Elephas maximus indicus: one gene and its partners. The protein of the gene in region 3 purifies or fractionates together with the protein of the main gene of each other region. This does not show direct contact. Links are inferred from orthologs where the notes say so. Each region holds a gene or a part of one and is shown on either strand. Other genes may lie near its edges.

Region 1 (3,743 bases), on a different chromosome or scaffold from region 3:
ACAAAGAGTGATCGACAGAGTTCTCTTTGAGGAGGCGGCCAACTGAATGACAACACGAACCAGCAGGAGGGAGTTTCAGCAAAGGGCAGCAAGAGCAAAGACCTTGCAGTTAGAAATGAACAAGACACTCTTGAAAAGCAAATGGCAAGTGCAGGTATTTGCAAGTGTAATGAATGAGGGGAAAAGCAGCAGAAAGTGAAGTTGGACGGGACACAGGTTGCAGCTGCCACGCAGGGGCTTAGAATGGAGCCTTTTGGATTTCATTCTAAGGTCAACAGGAGATTGTGAAATGGTTTTAAGCAAGTGAGGGACATGATACCGCTGCTGTGTGGAGAGTGGGTTACAAAGGAATGCAGATATAACACTGGTCCGGGTGAGAACTGATGAAAGCTTACATCCGGATGGCGCCAGAGTCTAAGGGTCGCCGCATGGTCGAGGGAGCCAAGGGTCCACGTTGGCCGGGATAAAAGCAGACCAGGTCTTGCTTCAACTCAGAAAAGATGTGGAAGGGGCCCAAGTAAGGCTTATCACTGTCCCAGGTCGAACAGGGGATGAAAAGAGCCGGCGGGGGTCTCAGGAGCCAGGGGTCAGGGAAATCAGAAGCTGGAAGGCGGGAATGAGGAGGCGAGGAGGCAGGAGGCAAGAGGCGGGGCGTCAAGAGGGAGGAGGTAGAGAGACGAGCTGTGCGGAAGCGAGGATATGGTGAAGGCGGGGCGAGGAGGCGGGAAGTAGAGCGCCGGGCGGCGGGGAGGGTGGAAGCTAGACAGCGGGGAGTCGAAAGAAAGAAGGGGAGGGAGTAGGCCCGGGAGGAGGGGAGGTGGGAGGGGCGGGGCGGGGACGAGAGGAGGAGGGCCGGTGCAGGGAGGCGGGGCCGGGGGCGGGAAGGCGGGGCCTGGGGACTGGAAGGCGGGCCGGGCAAAGGAGGGTTGTGGAGGCTTCTCTCCGGCTGTAATGGGAGCAGCGCCTCCGCTGCCTTCCTCTCCTCCCCCGCCCCTGTCCTCTGTGGTCGGCCCCGCCTCCTTCAGTACCTCCACTACCCAGGAAGGCGGTGCGGGCTGAGAGCTGCTTTCACTTTCCCTTCCCCGTGCCCACTCCTCGCTCCACGCGCGGCGTAAGGCCCCCTCCCCAGCCATGACCACACTCAGGGTCCAGCCTGAAGCCCAAGCCAAGGTGAGCGCAGCAGGTTAAAGGAAGGGCCCTTTAGGGAGGCGTGGCTCAAAGAGGCTGAGGGCAACCCTAACTAGCCTCCAGCCCCCGACACGAGTGAAGGTCAGTCGACCGAGGCCACGCACCCGGAGCACCTGAGCCCACGGGAGATCCTCCAGGCCTGCCTGCGGGAAGAGACGAGGCGACCGTGGTTCAGTGGGGTGAGGTGAAGCGGAGAGCTGGCGTAGAGGGGAAATCCGCTGGCCCGGGGCCGGGGCCACACACAGATGGGGTGCGGGACCTGCCCCTGCTACCTCGTGGCCTTCTCATCAGGTCCCCAAGTCCCATCCCACAGGGTGCTCATTCCTGCCCCAGTCGCAGGGGGCTCTCATACATGTCCTCTTCAGGGTGACCCAGGCAACCCGAGGGATCTGTTCCTACATGAACCACCCACTCTTCTCTGCCAGGAATGCTCTCACCCCCCTAATTGAGCCCCACGGGAATCCACTCCTCCACCACCCGGGTCCACCCCCACCCTTCCCCAGCTCCAGGCCCGATGCAATCCTAAAGGAACTGCTCTCAAATGAATTGGCCTTATAGCCAGGTTTCTGAAAGGTTGCCTATGCCCCACAGGTGAATGTGTTCCGGGAAGACCTGTGTGCCAAGGTAAGACCTGCCCCATCTGTACCCCCACTGGTCCCCAACTCCCACCGCTCAGCCCTCCCTCTCTTGCTGGGCAGCAGTGGCTCTGCATCACTGGCCAGGTGGGCCTTTGATTCTGACCTCTGCCTTCCCCCACTCCCACCTCACACACAGACAGAGAACCTGCTTGGGAGCTATTTCCCCAAGAAGATTTCTGAGTTGGATGCATTTCTAAAGGTACTGGGGCTGGGCAAGGGGCTAGAGAATAGGGGCCAAGGGGAGAGTGGGGGGGGGTCAGAAAGAGGAAGTGAGGACACCCTTGCCTACAGCCCTCTTCTCACCCTGCACCAGGAGCCAGCTCTCAATGAAGCCAACCTGAGCAATCTGAAGGCTCCATTGGACATACCAGTGCCTGACCCAGTCAAGGAGAAAGAGAAGGAGGAGCGGAAGAAACAGCAGGAGGCAAGCTGGGGAGAGGGACCTGATCATGGGGAAAATCAACCTTAGGCCTGACTCTCATGAGCCCCTCTCTCGCTGCAGAAGGAAGACAAGGATGAAAAGAAAAAAGGGGAAGATGAAGACAAAGGTACTTGAAACAACGATGGTGGGAAGGGACTTGAGTCCCACTCCCCAAGAGCTTCTTGCTAAGGATCCCTCCCCTGTCCCCCTCACACAGGCCCAGATATGTTACTGACCCATTGCCTACTCCCCAGGTCCTCCCTGTGGCCCAGTGAGCTGCAATGAGAAGATCGTGGCCCTCTTGCAGCGCCTGAAGCCAGAGATCAAAGACGTCATTGAGCAGCTCAACCTGGTGAGCCCTCCCACTCCCACCTCAGGCTTTAGGTTGAACCCTTTGTCCTCCTTGGTTCTTCCCAGTTAGGGCATGACACTACTAGGTCTTAGCAGGAACAGCATAGCAAGTGAAGCCAGAAGTCCAGGCCCTGGGGCTCAGGATGAACCTATCACACCTCCACCCACCTTGTGGGAATTGGGTGGGGGACTGCTGTGACTTAGATGCCATTCCCTTGTCCCAGGTCACCACCTGGTTGCAGCTGCAGATACCACGGATTGAGGATGGGAACAACTTTGGAGTGGCTGTCCAGGTGAGCATGCTGCCCCATGTCCCTGCCTTTCCTTCCCCTCCAGTCTATATTTCCTTCTACTTTATCCTCTTGCTTGCTTTCTCCAGGAAAAGGTGTTTGAGCTGATGACCACCCTTCACACCAAGCTGGAAGGCTTCCACACCCAAATCTCCAAGTAAGTGATCACCCACCCACACCCACACGCATACTCTGCTTTGGATTGGGGACAGAGGCCAGGGCTCATGCCACCTTCTCCCACTCTACACACTTCTTCCACTTCCCACAGGTATTTCTCTGAGCGGGGTGATGCAGTAACCAAAGCAGCCAAGCAACCCCATGTGGTAGGTAGCACAGGTCGGGATATACGGGGGGATGGACACACTTGGATGAAGTCAGGCTGACCCCAAGTCTCCCTCAGGGTGATTATCGGCAGCTGGTGCATGAGCTGGATGAGGCGGAGTACCGGGACATCCGTCTGAGGATCATGGAGATCCGCAATGCTTACGTGAGGAGGCGAGGGCAGCGCAGGGCAGGGGTGGGCAGAGGCAGCTTTCCCAGGCCACCCGCTCCCAGACCCTGCAGGCTGGGGGTAAAGGGTGACAAAGCGTGGCCTCTTCACAAGGCTGGAAATGGGGCACAGAGCGACTGGCACCTACAGCTGACCCCCCACTCCTCCCTGGCCCTGTAGGCAGTGCTATATGACATCATCCTGAAGAACTTCGAAAAACTCAAGAAGCCCAGGGGAGAAACAAAGGGGATGATTTATTGAGGGCCTCTGCTCTCATTTTTGTGATGAGTGCAACAGAGACCCTCCTGCCTTTTATCGGGGACTCCAGACTTTCCCCCCATTTTTCTCCTGTTGAGGTTTCTCTC
Region 2 (3,743 bases), on a different chromosome or scaffold from region 3:
CCTTTTCTGAATCTGGCTTGAATTTCTGGAAGTTCCCTGTCAACCATTTTTGAATTATCTTCAGCATAATTTTACTTGCATGTGATATTAATGATAAACCAAAACATGTTGCCATCAAGTGGATTATGATCCTACAAGGTAGAGTAGAACTGCCCCATAGGGTATCCATGGTTGTAATCTCTACTGAAGCTGACTGCCACGTCTTTCCTCCAAGGAGCAGCTGGTGGGTTCCAACTGCTGACCTTTCGGTTAGTAGCCCAGCGCTTTAATCATGGCGCCACCAGGGCTTCTGATATTAATCATATTGTTTGATGATTTCCGCATTCCGTTGGATCACTTCTCTTCGGAATGGAAATGTATATGGATTTCTTCCAGCCAGAAAAATGCGCGCATCTGTGTTGAAGTACAGCCAGCGTGCTCCTCTAGAAGGGAGAAGGGTGAGACTTCATCTCATTACGCTTTTTGGATAGTGGTCAGGAGGATCAGTCCTAGAGAAGGACATCATGCTTGGTAAGGTAGAAGGCCAGCTAAAAAGACCCTTAATGAGATGGACTGACACAGTGGCTGCAAAAATGGGCTCAAAGCTAACAACGATCATGAGGATGGTGCATGACCGGGCTCTTTCTTTCTGTTGTACATAGGGTCGCTATAAGTCCGAACCGACTTGATTTGCACCTAACAACAACCAAGAGTGTACTCGAGTTTCTGTCGTTCCACGTGTTTGCTAGTTTTTTTGGTATGGTCAGACTTTTTAAATTTTGTCCACCTGGAGTGAATTCGAGCGGTTTCTTAAGAAAACCCTGACACCTATGTGGGCTTTCTGTAACACCTGGCGCCACTACCAAAAAGCCAGGGGCGCTGGCTTCCGGGAGCAACGAAGAGCGTGGGGCAGAGAGGCCCGCCGCGCGCCGGAGACCGGAAGCGGATCCGTTTCCTGTCGGCAGCGAGTGCAGAGCAGAGCGGCCCGCTTCCGGTCGGAGCCGCCATATTGCTGTGAGACAGCAGTCGCAGGCGCTGCGCGATGTTGTCCTCCGCTGCTGTGTTTCCTGCGCTCGGCCGCGACCTGGGAATGGAGACTTTCGGCGCCGCGGGGCCCTTGCAGCTGCGCTTTTCGCCCTACGCCTTCAACGGAGGGTAACGCCCTGGGAGCGCGCGCTCCCTTCCGCCGTCGTTTCCCTCGCTACCGCAGCGCCTCTGGGGTCGCGGGTGTGAGGGCGCCAACTCCCTGCGTGCCCTTCCCGCCGCTGCTGGGATTCGCTCCGGCTTGGGCGCACGGCCTGGGTTTCCCTGACGGCCCGGCCTCCGCACGCGGTCCCGCCTCACTTCCCTGACGGCCCGGCGTCTGCACGCAAGGCCGCCTCACTTCCCTGACGGCCCGGCCTCCACACGCAGTGCCGCTTCACTTCCCTGACGGCCCGGCCTGCGCACTCAAGGCCGCCTCGCTTCCCTAACGGCCCGGTCCGCACGCAAGGCCGCCTCACTTCCCTGACGGCCCGGCCTCCGCACGCAGGGCCGCCTCACTTCCCTGACGGCCCGGCTTCCACACGCAGGGCCGCCTCATTTCCCTGACGGCCCGTCCTCCACACGCAGGGCCGCCTCATTTCCCTGACGGCCCGGCCTCCACAGGCAAGGCCGCCTCACTTCCCTGACGGCCCGGCCTCCGCACGCAGTGCCGCTTCACTTCCCTGACGGCCCGGCCTGCGCACTCAAGGCCGCCTCGCTTCCCTAACGGCCCGGTCCGCACGCAAGGCCGCCTCACTTCCCTGACGGCCCGGCCTCCGCACGCAGGGCCGCCTCACTTCCCTGACGGCCCGGCTTCCACACGCAGGGCCGCCTCATTTCCCTGACGGCCCGTCCTCCACACGCAGGGCCGCCTCATTTCCCTGACGGCCCGGCCTCCACAGGCAAGGCCGCCTCACTTCCCTGACGGCCCGGCCTCCGCACGCAGTCCCGCTTCACTTCCCTGACGGCCCGGCTTCCACACGCAGGGCCGCCTCATTTCCCTGACGGCCCGGCCTCCACACGCAAGGCCGCCTCACTTCCCTGACGGCGCGGCCTCCACACGCAGGGCCGCCTCACTTCCCTGACGGCCCGGACTCCACAGGCAAGGCCGCCTCACTTCCCTGACGGCCCGGACTCCGCACGCAGTCCCGCTTCACTTCCCTGACGGCCCGGCCTCCACACGCAAGGCCGCCTCATTTCCCTGACGGCCCGGCCTCCACACTCAAGGCCGCCTCACTTCCCTGACGGCCCGGCCTCCACACGCAGGGCCGCCTCACTTCCCTGACGGCCCGGCCTCCACACTCAAGGCCGCCTCACTTCCCTGACGGCCCGGCCTCCACACGCAAGGCCGCCTCACTTCCCTGACGGCTCGGCCTCTGCACGCAGTCCCGCTTCACTTCCCTGACGGCCCGGCTTCCACACGCAAGGCCGCCTCATTCCCTGACGGCCCGGCCTCCACAGGCAAGGCCACCTCATTTCCCTGGCGACCCGGCCTCCGCACGCAGGGACGCTTTCACGCACAGCCTGTTCCGCAGCGAGAGTCGGGAGGGTAGAGGTTGACATCCATCCTCCGGCCTGGGAATGCCTTCGGAATGCGCCTTAGGGCCTCGCGGGTCTGAGCGGTTCACCGGCTAGAGGCCGAGGGGACAGGCTTGTCGGAAACAGCGCAGTGGTCGGCGGCCCCGGTGGCTGGGCGCCCAGTAATGGCTGTAGATGCAACACTTCCCAAAAAGTGGCTTCGTCATTTTCTGTTACTTTAAATTGAAGCTGGGATTGATCAGAATTACTTTTGTAAATTAGTGTGTCTTTCTCTTTGCTTTTAAATGTTTATCTTAAATAGAAAAAAGCTCAGAAGAGGGACTTTTTAATGGGATATATTCAAGGTGGGTTTTTTTTTTTTTTAAACTAGCGCCTTTTTAGTAACACTTTTGCCTGATACTACACTGAAAGAATCAGGATTGTGGAGCTATAAATTGAAGCAGTGGTTATGGTTTACCAACCAAATTTTGTACAAACACAATTTGAACAAACAAATAATTCTTTGAGAAAACCAAAAGTAGAAATCAGCTCCATATGAATTTCAAATATTGTTGCGAAATTTTTGAGTGTGCTGGCAAGAGTGAAAGACTATGATTTTTGCCCTGGTTCTGCCCGTACATGGCACCTTTCTCAGCTTCTTGAACCCACGTTTCCTTGTCTGCCTTAGCCACTTCATGCATTTCTGGGAGAATTAAATGAGAAGCATTTGGTAAGTTGGCAAGCAGTTCTTGTTTAATCCTTATAGTAACCAAGCGATGAATGATATTAGCCCCGTTTTTACAAACAAACCCAGGGCTCTTAGAAGTCATGAAGCTGGAGTGAGATTGAGGCAGGGCTTGAATTCATCTCTGTCACAGCTGAGTTTGTATGTTCTTGCACTTCTTAACGCTTCCTGTTGTGATTGTTAAATTGTAAGGCAGCCTTTAGACCCATTTCATAGAACAGTTATAAATTCTGTATGATAGGGTTTTCAAGGTGGTCAGTATTCAGAACTCATTTCTCACTTTCTAAACTCTTGTAACCCAGCTTAAGTCATTACTGCTCTAAAAGTTAATTTCTTACAATTTTCTGATTATTATTTTTTTCTAAATCTTTGTTCTTTATTGTCTATTGCTGCTGACTCTCAAAACTCCACTCTTTGCTTCTACAAAATAATGCTTACTTTTTTACTGCCTGGTCAGTAGTTTTCAGAGGTTTTCTCC
Region 3 (3,743 bases):
AAATAACATTTTATCGACACACAGCCATGCCCACTCATTCACGAGCTGGCCTTGGCAGCTTTGAAGCTGCTGCAGCAAAGCTGAGCAGTCGTGACAGAAACCACGGGGTCCACAGGGTGGGAAGCACTTCCTTCCTAGTCCTTCCCAGGAACAGCTGATGCCTTGCTCTAGTGCCTGGGGGGAGGGGGAGGTCAGCCTCCGGGGGGGCCGTGGGGGTCTGTGTCAAAACCACAAACACGCATATACAACAAGCAAGTCCGCTTCTAGACTTTTAACAGGAAGATGGCGCACAGGAACAGCCTATACAAGGTTACCCTTGAGCCAAATTCCCAATCTACCTCATGATGCTGAGAACAGGCAGTACAGGAAGCAGGGCCTCCCACCTACCTGCATCCAGAAGAAGAGCCGCTTGGATCCTGCCTTAAACTTGAGCACGTAGACCCTCCCACTGGGGCACTGAGGCACCCGCTTAAATTCACAGTCGTCGGGGAAGATAATCAAGTCCTACAGAGGAACACGAGGGGAGGCAAGAGCAAGCTTAACACAAGCAAACCTTCAAGGCTCCCGACTGCTCGAGAAGACACGGCAGAGCCTGTGTGTCAGAGTGTGAGACAGATCAGTTGCCAGAGCCCCTCACTATCGGAGTCTCCACAGGGACGGGGTCTCCACAGGGAAGAGGAGCCAGCCTCCGACGCCCACTGTGAGGGCGGACCCTCAGGTGAGGGCTGGGGGGCAGGGCAGGCACTCACAGCAGGGGCTCAGGTGGGTTCAAAGGGTACTTTACAGTTCTGCCCCATGTCATCACCTTTCAAAAGCTTGTTGTTTTTTATAAAATAAATGGTGATTTTCAAATATTTTCAGTATCACCACCATTTAGTTTTGTAGACAGTTAGAAGGTCAGCTCTGATCCACTCTCAGACGTAACAAAGATCAATCCATCGCGGACAGCAAAGAACGCAGAGTGACAAGCACTAGCAGACAAAGCTTCCTCGAGAATCTAACAGAGGAAAGACCTCCACTTCACACCTGATGGCTAAAGTACAAGCAGTGATGACCTACGACCCTGCAAGACTGGGACGCTCCAGAAGCAAGTGAAACGGCTGATGGCGGACACCAACCCAGCAACCCCATGCAAAAACCAAGCCCCAAAGACCACCCCAGCCACCCGCCGGCAGCCGTGGCGTCCAGGTGGCGGACACTCACGTCCTCCACGCTGCCCGACGTCCTGTCCTTCCAGCAGAAGTGAATGAGGGAGTCGTCGGTCTGCTGAATGTACACCAACCCCTTCCGCTTGTCCGGGGTGACCGTCGTTCCTTTCAGGGACATTTTTCCTGCCCGAAACTCCACCAAATACTTGTTGGAGGAGCCGCGGGAGCCTGGCACCAGGCTTGGAAAGAGAGCGCCTGAAGTCGTCATCCTGAAAAAGGAGAGGTGGCACTTAGACCCCACGTGTGCCAACGTGGTGTACTGCCAAAACTCTCCATTTCCTCTGCAAACATTGCTGCTTGCACGGATGGGGACAAAAGCCCCCAGGGTGCGCCGTGCCCCCACACCAGGGTTGGTCCCACTCCAGCTCCACCCGCCCTCCCAGGATCAATGCTGAGCTTCTTTTCATGTTTCCCAAAGAGCAAAACCGAAGTGCACGGACACCCGTCACCCCAGAGTGCATGGGCCCTGTGGGCGGCACTCTCTTACAAACTCTTGTTGGTTTTTCGTTCTGAGAGCCATAGAACTCAAAACACTTGAGCTGAGGTGGCCTCATACTAACCCCTCAGCCCCAGGACAGGCCATGGGCACAGTGACCTCGCCTTTCTGCTTTAACACAGCAACGCTGCAAGTATGACCCTTAAAAAAGAGAAGCTGGCCACTGGGCTGGAGAACACGCAGCCCCTAACTTGGCTATTTCATGGAGTGGTGCCCCAGATCTTCTCACAAAGGCAGAATTGAAGGCAGCAGCTCATGGTTGTCCCACCTCTGCGCTTGGGTAAAGAGGAACCCCGATTTCACCAAAAGCCTGTGGCTTCTGAACTTAGCGAATGAGGGCTGGGGGTGGTGGGGATCCCTGGGAAACCCCACCCTGGGGCCTAAGGAAGTGCTGGGCTCGGAGGAGCAGAAAAGGCAGCAGCCAGGACCCCCCTCCCCCCAGAACCCCCACCCGAGGGCTCCTAGCCTAAGGACCCCCTCCACACACACTTCTCCCTCGCCCCCCCGCCCCCCATCCCTGGACCACCGCCCCCAGAGGCCCCAGCCAAGGACCCCTTCCCCTCACACCCTCCTCCCTCGCACCCCTGCCCTCACCCCCAGGACCCCCTCCCCTCACATCCTCCTCCCTCGCACCTCTGCTCGCACCCACAGGATCTCCTCCCCTCACATCCTCCTCCCTCGCACCCCTTCCCTCACCCCCAGGACCCCCTCCCCTCGCACCCCTTCCCTCACCCCCAGGACCCCTGCTCCACGGACCCCCGACCCGGCTCCCCCTCCCCCGCAGGACCCTCTCAGGCCTAAGGTCCCTCCCGCGGGGTCGCAAGCTGCGCCGCCCCCGCCCCTCTGGGCCGGTCCCTGCCCCTCCGAGCCGGTCCCCACACCACGGGCAGCACCCCGCCCCCCGGCCGCCCCCGGGGGCACCTGGCTGCGCCGACGCTAGGCCGAGAAGCGATGCCCGAGCTCGCTCTTCCTCCTCCGCGGCGGCCGGGCCCCGCCGGAAGCCCGCACTCGCCCCGCCTGACCCGCTGCGCCGCCTGCCGATTGGTCCTGCGCGGGCTCGCGGCCCGCCCCTCGCCGCGAGCGACTGGCCCGAGTGGCCGCCCATCGCTCGGCCCCGCCCCGTGCAGGCTGCCGCGGCGCGCAGGAAGCGGGCGGCGGGGGCCAGAGAGGCCGCTATTGTTGCTGTGTCATAGGGGGCGGCGGCGGCCCCTGGCGGCGGCGCCGGGAACCGCAGGCCGGGCTGCGGGGGCCCGTGTCCCAGCCAACAGCGTCACCTCTGGCGACGCCGCGACCCCTGCGTGCCACTGGCCCGCGGGGCACGGGCGCACTTAAGGGGCAGGCAGGGTTCGGCGCGGGGTCGCGACCAGGGCCCTAAACACGGCCGACCGCATCAGTGCTAGGCATCGTACCACCGTGCAGGGCTTCGGCTGCACCCACGCCCTGCAGGTGTTTCGACGGGCAGGAGCCTCGGCTGGGCCCACGCCCCGCAGGTGTTCGGAGGGTCAGGGGCCTCGGCTGCGCCCACGTCCCGCAGGTGTGGGAGGGGCAGGGCCCTGGTCCACAGGCTGTTGGCGCTCAGGCCAGCAGGCCGACCGTCCATCCAGGATGCCCCCTGTGTACACAGAGCAATGACCTGGGAGCCCTGATCAGGCCTCTAAGATTCCTGATTCAGTGCTGCAAGATGCCGAGGCCAAAGATAGAAAGTCACAAAGTTAAAAAGGTAGGAGTCTTGTGACACTGGAGCTGGGAAAATGTCAGCTCCGTGTTACTTTGAGTTAATTTGACATAAAAGCAAAGGCAACGAGGGAACACCTGGGAGCAGGAGCCTGCTGATGAACAAACCGATCAGTTTGCTGGGATTTGCTTAAAGCTGCCTGAAGCAGGGGTTCTGAGAGTATGGTCCCGGAGCCCCCTTTTCTGTAATAGCCTGGGATGTAGTCTGCCTTTCTCACTCCAGTCTCCCCAGAGAGCACGATGGAGTTTGCAGATGCTACAAACATGTGCCCAGGAACAGGCTGGAGACAGCCAATGGCTGTGAA

The links.
Region 1: the proteins of ADRM1 (region 3) and PSME1 purify together in Homo sapiens (affinity purification with western blotting; 3 studies listed by BioGRID, with this or other methods). This does not show direct contact. The link is inferred for Elephas maximus indicus from reciprocal best matches to the Homo sapiens genes ADRM1 and PSME1.
Region 2: the proteins of ADRM1 (region 3) and PSMB1 fractionate together in Homo sapiens (co-fractionation; 3 studies listed by BioGRID, with this or other methods). This does not show direct contact. The link is inferred for Elephas maximus indicus from reciprocal best matches to the Homo sapiens genes ADRM1 and PSMB1.

What each region holds. Positions count from the first base shown.
Region 1 is NC_064828.1:35,494,869-35,498,611, forward strand, and holds the start of PSME1 (proteasome activator complex subunit 1), read left to right. Parts: upstream 1-1,014; 5' UTR 1,015-1,131; coding exon 1,132-1,170; intron 1,171-1,779; coding exon 1,780-1,812; intron 1,813-1,962; coding exon 1,963-2,025; intron 2,026-2,139; coding exon 2,140-2,250; intron 2,251-2,328; coding exon 2,329-2,374; intron 2,375-2,501; coding exon 2,502-2,599; intron 2,600-2,822; coding exon 2,823-2,891; intron 2,892-2,977; coding exon 2,978-3,045; intron 3,046-3,156; coding exon 3,157-3,211; intron 3,212-3,288; coding exon 3,289-3,375; intron 3,376-3,558; coding exon 3,559-3,639; 3' UTR 3,640-3,743. UniProt on the Homo sapiens protein: Implicated in immunoproteasome assembly and required for efficient antigen processing. The PA28 activator complex enhances the generation of class I binding peptides by altering the cleavage pattern of the proteasome.
Region 2 is NC_064819.1:243,763,062-243,766,804, reverse strand, and holds the start of PSMB1 (proteasome subunit beta type-1), read left to right. Parts: upstream 1-963; 5' UTR 964-1,021; coding exon 1,022-1,134; intron 1,135-3,743. UniProt on the Homo sapiens protein: Non-catalytic component of the 20S core proteasome complex involved in the proteolytic degradation of most intracellular proteins. This complex plays numerous essential roles within the cell by associating with different regulatory particles.
Region 3 is NC_064843.1:5,654,745-5,658,487, forward strand, and holds the start of ADRM1 (proteasomal ubiquitin receptor ADRM1), read right to left. Parts: upstream 2,710-3,743; 5' UTR 2,626-2,709; intron 1,418-2,625; 5' UTR 1,417-1,417; coding exon 1,204-1,416; intron 505-1,203; coding exon 388-504; intron 1-387. UniProt on the Homo sapiens protein: Component of the 26S proteasome, a multiprotein complex involved in the ATP-dependent degradation of ubiquitinated proteins.